Oryctolagus cuniculus: one gene and its partner. The protein of the gene in region 2 interacts with the protein of the main gene of each other region in a pairwise test. Links are inferred from orthologs where the notes say so. Each region holds a gene or a part of one and is shown on either strand. Other genes may lie near its edges.

Evidence for each region.
Region 1: the proteins of SRRM4 (region 2) and ZRSR2 interact in binary tests that used the Homo sapiens proteins (3 or more experiments, as listed by UniProt). The link is inferred for Oryctolagus cuniculus from reciprocal best matches to the Homo sapiens genes SRRM4 and ZRSR2.

Annotation. Positions count from the first base shown.
Region 1 is NC_091453.1:1,928,881-1,932,791, reverse strand, and holds the start of ZRSR2 (U2 small nuclear ribonucleoprotein auxiliary factor 35 kDa subunit-related protein 2), read right to left. Parts: upstream 2,834-3,911; 5' UTR 2,487-2,833; coding exon 2,446-2,486; intron 2,047-2,445; coding exon 1,967-2,046; intron 1-1,966. UniProt on the Homo sapiens protein: Pre-mRNA-binding protein required for splicing of both U2- and U12-type introns. Selectively interacts with the 3'-splice site of U2- and U12-type pre-mRNAs and promotes different steps in U2 and U12 intron splicing.
Region 2 is NC_091452.1:15,289,117-15,292,791, reverse strand, and holds the end of SRRM4 (serine/arginine repetitive matrix protein 4), read right to left. Parts: coding exon 3,605-3,675; intron 3,218-3,604; coding exon 3,077-3,217; intron 1,522-3,076; coding exon 1,251-1,521; 3' UTR 592-1,250; downstream 1-591. UniProt on the Homo sapiens protein: Splicing factor specifically required for neural cell differentiation.

The DNA of each region.
Region 1 (3,911 bases), on a different chromosome or scaffold from region 2:
CTCTCTGCTGTGGCCCGGGAGGGCAGTGGAGGATGGCCCAAGTGCTTGGGCCCTGCACCCCATGGGAGACCAGGAGAAGCACCTGGCTCCTGCCATCGGATCAGCGTGGTGCGCCGGCCACAGCACGCCAGCTGTGGCGGCCATTGGAGGTGAACCAACGGCGAAAAGGAAGACCTTTCTCTCTGTCTCTCTCTCTCACTATCCACTCTGCCTGTCAAAAAAAAAAAAAAAAAAAAAGAAGTAGAGTAGACAGTTCTCAATCCGGCGCCCATATGGACTGTCAGCACTGCAGGCAGTGGCTTTATCCACTATGCCACAGCACTGGCCCCCATTAAATGATTTTTAATACAATAAAAATTAATATCATTCCCTATTCAAAACTTAAATTTGAGGAAACAGTGAAAGTGGAGGAAAAATGGATCAGATCTGAAGTGACCTTAAGGGAATGTAACAGGGGCTGGTATTGTGGTGCAGCGAGTTAAGCTACAACACATTCCATATGAGCACCAGTTCAAGTCCCTGCTGCTCCACTTCTCATCCAGCTCCTGCTAATGGACCTGGGAAAGCAGCAGAAGATGGCTCAAGTATTTAGGCCCCTATCACCCACATGGGAGATCCAGATTGAGTTCAGGGCTCCTAACTTTGGCCTGGCCCTGCTCCAGCCATTGTGTGTTGTAGATATTTAGGGAGTAAACTAGTGGATGTAAGATTCTCTCTGTCACTCTGCCTTTCAAATGACAAAAATAAATAAAAAGAGGGACCGGTGTTGTGGTGTAGTGGGTAAAGCCACCACTTGTAGTGCTGGCATCCCTTACGGACACCAGTTAGAGTCCTGGCTGCTCCACTTCTGATCCAGCTCTCTGCTGTGGCCTGGGAAAGCAGTGGAAGATGGCTCAAGTGCTTGGGTCCCTGCACCCAAGCGGAAGACCCAGAAGAAGTTCCTGGCTCCTGGCTTCGTATTGGCCCAGCTCCACCCGTTGAGGCCATTTGGGGAGTGAACCAGCGGATGGAAGACCTCTCTCTCTCTCTCTCTCTGCCTCTACGTCTCTGTAACTCTGCCTTTCAAATAAATAAATAAATCTTTAAAAATAAATAAATAAAAATAAAATCTTAAAAATTGTCTAGGCTAATATAATTAGCATATTTGAATAATCTGGATGGCAACCATTATAAAGCACTACTGCTGTGTGATTTCGGTGACCCCAGCTGCATTTACAACTATTATATAATCTTTTAACTAAATCATAATTTTATTGTATTAAACAGGCAGGTATAATACATAAATGTTAGGTTCTGCCATGTGAAGGCCAAATGACATCATGTTCAGCTGTACAACTGAAGATTCTGCTACAGTTTAATTGAAACAAAACAATAGGCCAACCATCATAGAAGCATTCCAAATTCTCATCAGCATCATATGCATGCTGTAGGGAGCATCTTTCACGTCATCCTAGCATTACATTAATGCATATTTTAATTCTAAGATGTGTAATTTCATTTGGTTTTATAATTTTTAAGTAAATGTATTATTGTATAATCTATTAAATTTCACTAGTTTTATGCTTATAAACACTTAAATAATATAGTAGTTTGAGACCAATATAAGGTTTCTTATTTTACTCAACTGTGAGTAAAAGTTGCAAAATGTCTAACTAAATCGCTGGACTCCTGCTGACTTAACCAAAAAAGAAAAAAGTTTCTTTCACTGACTACTTCCTATGTGCAAGGTTTGTCCTAGCTACTGTAATTCATGCTGACTGCCCCTGTAACATTACTTTATAAACACTGAAGCAGCATCAGTAAGTGTTAACTCTTTGTGACTTTCCCCCTCCGTAATTCGTTAACATTGTTTCTGACACAGCTAACACAGCTGGGAGGCAGGAGCCACAGCCTGACTTCCTTTTGAAAGTGCGTTATGAAGTTAGGGCAGGAGGAAAAGAAGCAAACAGGATAAAGAGTTCACTACCTGAGTCTCTCAATCGCGCGAGTTCCTGCCGCCGTTTCTTTCGTTTCTCCTTTTTCAGAGCTGCCCTGTACTTTTTGTGGCTGGAAGATTGAGATTCACCATCACACACAGCATCAGCGTCAGCGGCCCCAACTGCAGCGCTGCCCGAGTTCGCTCTCTTCTAGGACCAGTTACAGCAAATCGCTCGGGAGAGAAGTCTTGTTCCCCGTTAACTGCAGAACACGGAGCTCCCATGGCTCTGTCCTTCCACGCCCATACTCCAGCTCTTCTCCAACCCGCCACCTGTTCCCCTCCTCAACTCACTGAGCCCACGGACGCCCATGACAGTTCAGCGCGAGCCCCAGAAAGGTTTCGAACTGCTGCGCTGGCTCCCTCGCTTAGCCCAGCTCCTTTCCTTCCTGTGAGTATATTCTCCGTGCCCAGGTTCGGCCCGCTGCATCCCCCTATTTTGCCAACTCACCTCCCTCGGCAGAGCTTACCTACGTTTCTCGGAAAACATCACACTCTCCGGCGCCGCCATCTTTGCCAATGCTGCTCCGCCTTCCCCCTCCCCCCAAGACCTGGCCGGAAAAGGCGTGCTTAAGAGCAGCGGGGGCGCGCGCAGGCGCACAAGGAACAAAGCCTCGGCTCGCGCGGACCCGAGACTCAGGGCATGGGGTTCCTTTCTGTGGCTCGTCTGCCAAAACCCTGTCCAGATAAAGACGTCCTTCCGGAAAAAGTGCTCCGGAGTTCTTTCCCGGCCCTGGAAATTATTCGCTCACAGAGCTTCCCCATTGCTTTCTCACTGTCTCCCTCTGCGCCATGGTGCAATGTCTTGGGCCTCTCCATCTTTCTCATCATCCGTTCCCGAAGCCGCATTCCGCCCAGAGCTGCTCGCGTCGCTTCCCATTGGACTGCCTTCAGGCTCCACCTCCCATCGTGGCTTCACCTATCACTGCCTTACACAAATCCATTCACAACTACTGGCGCCCTAAGTGAACCTAACTCCTGGGGATGCGGAGGTGTAACTTCTGTCCCTAAGGAGTTCACTGTGGGGGCACAGAATAGGACCAGTACACAAATAATATAACATGGTGCAGGCAAAGATGAAGTGTAGTCCACTTGGGGATTCAGGCAATTTATGATGCTCCAGTTTTGAAGGAAGATAGCCTTTAACAAGGTGAAGAAGGGTGGCCATGGGGTTGCAAGCAGATCAGACTAAGTAAGCAAAGGGACTGATAATATTCTGAGAACAGCAAGATATTTTTTTTCAAACAGGCTTAATTTACTGTTTTTCTTGTGTAGCCACAGCTAGAGCCTGGGTCCTCGCACAGACGCTCTGGTGTGGTTCTTTACAAGAGTCAGTGAATTCTTGGTAGTGAGGCTTGGTGAACACTGCACAGCTCAGGGGTCAGATAACTCTAGGTCTTGGAAATGGCATCAAAGGTTGCCGAAGCCCCTTGCTGAGGTGTAGCAGTCATCAATACGAACAGAAGGAATTTTGACAATCCAATATAAACTGCAAATCCAGAGTATCAAGGAATAATGCCGTAGAGATAGTCTGGGGCTAGGAATGATATGCCATATTAAGGCACTTAGATTTGTTCTGTGTAATGGGGGACTCTTGAACGCTTTTAGGTAGTGGCCTGTTGTGACCCCTTTTGTGGTTTAGGTAAATTGTTGTGGTTTGTAGTTTAAAGGATTAAAAGATAAAGCTGCAATACAGTATCACAATAATCTACGTACAAAGTGATGAGGAATTACACTATGACAATGAAAGTGAGGATTGAGAAGGTGAAAACTAGCTCTACTAATATTTGGACTGTGATGTTCACATACAAGGCCCATGTATAAGGCCAAGAAAAAATGTTTCTCTCAAGTACACATTACAGCAGCAAAGTAACTTCTCCCATTTTTTTTGAGTGACTGAATAATGTCCCTGACTTAGCTTTGTTCCTGTCTCCTT
Region 2 (3,675 bases):
CGCCGCCCAGCCCTGGGCAGGGGAAGGCGGGGCATCCTCAGGCCGACAGGAAGCTTCTGAAGCCAGCAGGCACCCAGGCTGCACAGCACCCAAGCCCCTCATCCCTAGGGCGTCTCTGGAATTGGGTCCTTCGCCTCCAAACCTGAGCCACTGTGCCCCATCCTGGCAAAATTCCTGAGTGGCAAGGGGGGTGACTGGGACCGAAGGGTGCCTGGGTGGGAGGGAGCCAGGCTGCACTGGGTAGGATCCAGGGTGTGGCTGCCTGGGCGGTGGGGAGAGGGTGGGCAGGCGCCAACTGCAGGGCAAGGCCAGACTGGCTGGCGCTGGGGACTGGCGTGTGGCCATGGCCCTGGGGAATGTTCAGCAGATGGTCCCGTGGAATTAAGTTGGTGCCAGCCAGTGGGGCTGAGGCAAATTTGGGAAGTGGCGCTGTGGTCCAAGCTCTCCCGACCGTTCCCCTGTCTCCTTTCTTGTGGCATTCAGGGCTGTGGCCAGCCAGGAGGCATTCTGGGTCAGCCAAGTGGTAGCCTCTCCGTGGCTGGGACCTGCCAGGCTGCTTCCCGTGACCACACTGGGATCCTGGGAGCTGTGGAGGACTCCTTCCTTTCTCCTATCGCTGGAGAACCCACTGCCATCTCCTGTCACCTGCCACCGACTCCACTGCCCACGTGCCCTGCTCTTATGTCCTTCCCTCTCGCAGGATCCTGGGCTTCTGAGCTCTGGCCTGTTGGAGCTGGTGGAAGGCCTGGCTCCTTATCTCAGACTTGAACTTGGCTGGGCCTCCTCTCTCGACTCTCCCCTGAACATGGAGGGTGGGTCCCATAAACATGCAGCCAAGAGACTGCATGAGGGGAGATTGAGGGCAGATGGGGTGAATCTCTCATGGCCTTCCGGGTGCATCCTATGAGCAGAGGGTGAACAGAGCTGTCTCGGCCGTCCTGGCCCATTGCTTCTTACAAAACCGTGAGTTTTTGGTTTTTTTCTTGTGTGCCCGAGGAGGATGTGTCTCTCCATTTGCCCAGGCCTGAGCTGAGCCCCAGAACGGTGCTGGTAGAGGCTCGTAGCAGCCTGTCGTAGAGGGTGGAACCCCCGCATTCTCTTTGCCTCCTCCCTGGAGGAGCAGGAGGGGCAGGGTCCAGGAGCCCTCAGTATCTGTCACCAAGGAGAAGGCGGGGAGGGCAGGTGGGAGGGGGAGGCTGGCAGAGCGAAAGGAGCCCCCGGGGGCAGCCGGCTCTCGGAGGCCCTGGTGCTTAGCGCCTCGTGCTGCCGTAGCTGCCCGCAGAGCTGTAGCTCCGGCTCCGGCTCCGGGAGCCCAGGCTGGGACTTCGGGAGCTCGAGCTGCTGCTAGTGCGGGTCCTGCTCCGGCTCCGGCTGCGGCTCCGGCTCCGAGTCTGGCTCCGGGAGTAGCTGCGGCTGCCGGAGCGGCTGCTGCTGCTGCTGCTGTACCAGGAGGAGGAGCTGCTGAGGCTGCTGGGTGAGGACGGGCTGGGCCGGTAGTAGGGGATGGGGCGTTTCCGGGCACTGCAGAGACCACAGGAGGACGCATGCGTGAGGGCGGCACTCCTCCCAGCCCCGACCCAGCCCCTCTCCCCTTCCCTTGCCACCCCCACCCCCACCCCAACACACCAAGGAGAAAGTGTTGGCTCAGTGCTAAATCATCTTGAAAACTGATAATCTCACTTAAAAAAGCAGCGAGCCCAGGGCTCGGAGCCTCCAGCTGGCAACAGAATCCATACCAAAGCTTAATGGTGGTTTTCTGTTGCTATTTTTACTTTTACTAGAACCTTCTATTTATGGTGAGAGAAGCTGATTTTCCATTTACTGTACTGTATGTTTTTTTTTTTTTGACATAAATGCACGGGCCTCTACAAAAAGAAAAAAAAAAAAGAAAAAAAAGGGGCATATCTATTCAAGGAAAATCAAGTCACCCATAGTTCCTTTCACGAGCACACAAGGTAAAAGTGAAGACACAGCCGAAGGGCTGAGGTCTGGGAAACGCGGGACGGGTTAACAACATGGATTTTTCGGGGCTGGGGAGACCAGGCAGCCTCCGGAATGCCACTCTCTCTAGCTCAGCCCTCCTCCAAGCCGAGCCCAGTGATGGCTCTGGGCGAGGCAGGAAGAACAGAAAACCCCCGACTTCTAAGGGCTGAGGCAGGGGCTCCAGGCCCGGGCTCCTGTCTGTCCACCAGCCCATCTGCAGGGAGGGCTCACTGGGCAGCCAGGCTCGCCGCTCCTCTACGGGGGTGGAGGGTGAGCGGCTGAGGAGCCCGAACCAAATTTAGCACGGCAACCTCAGTCGTTCTCCCAGCTTCCAAGGCTGCAGAAACTCATTTCCACTCGGACCCTGGGCCTTTCTCTTCTGAGACCTCACGTGGCACCGCCAGCCACCTGCACCTGCTCCGACCACACGGCCAGTTGCAAGGGCACCCGGTGCACGCTGCGTCTCAGTGCACAAGGCACGGGCTCTCATCTCTGTGCTCCCTTTCAACTCACCCTCCTCCTATCCGGAGAGTTATTTCCTACCACTGGAAGAAGTGGAGAGGCTTTCCCAGGTCACGTGGGAGTGGCTCGGCCAGGACTGGGCTCGAAATCCAGAGCTGGCCACTAAGGCGCCCTCCAAGTTGCCCCCAGCACCCAGGTAGTCCTGCAGCTCTCTGTACACCTGGTTCAGTAGACCCAGAGGTGGGCCTGAGGGTGCCGTCTGTCTCCAATGCCAGACTCCATCACCAGGCCAATACCGAGTCCACGGCTGTGCATCTGGCTCTACACTCCCACTCCCAGGCCAGACTCCTTTCCCTTCCCCAGCCCTGCCTGCCAGGCTCCACCCTCAGACTCCTAGACACCTTCCAGGCCACACCCACTCCCAGGATGGCCCCATCCCTTCTCTGGCCCCGCCCCCCGCAGGCCCCAGGGGGCGGGACGGGAGTTGATTGATCCTAGAGGCAGGGCTGGGGTGCGGAGCTGAAGGTCTCAAAGCTGTACAGGTCCCTAAATGCCGGCCTCCCGGTGGCTGAGGCGGAGGGCTCGGGACCCGAACGGGCGGGACCGCGGGTGGGAGGCAGGGCGGCCTCACCTGGTTATCCTCCGCGCCTCCAGGTGGCTCGGGGAGTCTCTCCGGCGCTTGCGCATGGGCGAGTAGGACCGCCGTCTCCGACGCGCGCGCTCGTGCCCCCGCGGCTGCGAGTCCTTCTCGCTGTACTTGGGGTCCCGCTCCCTAGAGGGGTACGGCGGGTAACTGGGGAGCTGGGGCTGGGGTTGCCCCGGGCCTTGGGGAAGAGCCTGCGTGGACCCGCCTTGGCGGGTGGGAGCCACCAGATGCAGGCGCCGCTGGGGCCAGAGTGCGAGTGAGAATAGGGATGCGGGTGAGGAGGCTGATGGGTGTGGCCATGGGTTCTGGGGTGCGGCCGTGGGGGTGCTGGCAGTGGGGACATCACGACACAGGTGAACCTGGGCCTGGGTGCCACTCCTGATTGGATCAAGGCAACTGCTTCCATCCACCAGGGCGAGGGCGGGGCTTAAAAGGACGACTGGGGCGAAGGGGTGGGGCTGAGAGGCGGAGCTTTGTCCTGGGGCGTGGCCAGACCTGGGGGCGGGGCCTTACCTGCTGGGGCTGTAGCGGGAGTAGCTGGGGCTGCGGCGGGATCGCGAGCTTCTGCTGGGTGGGCTCCTCTT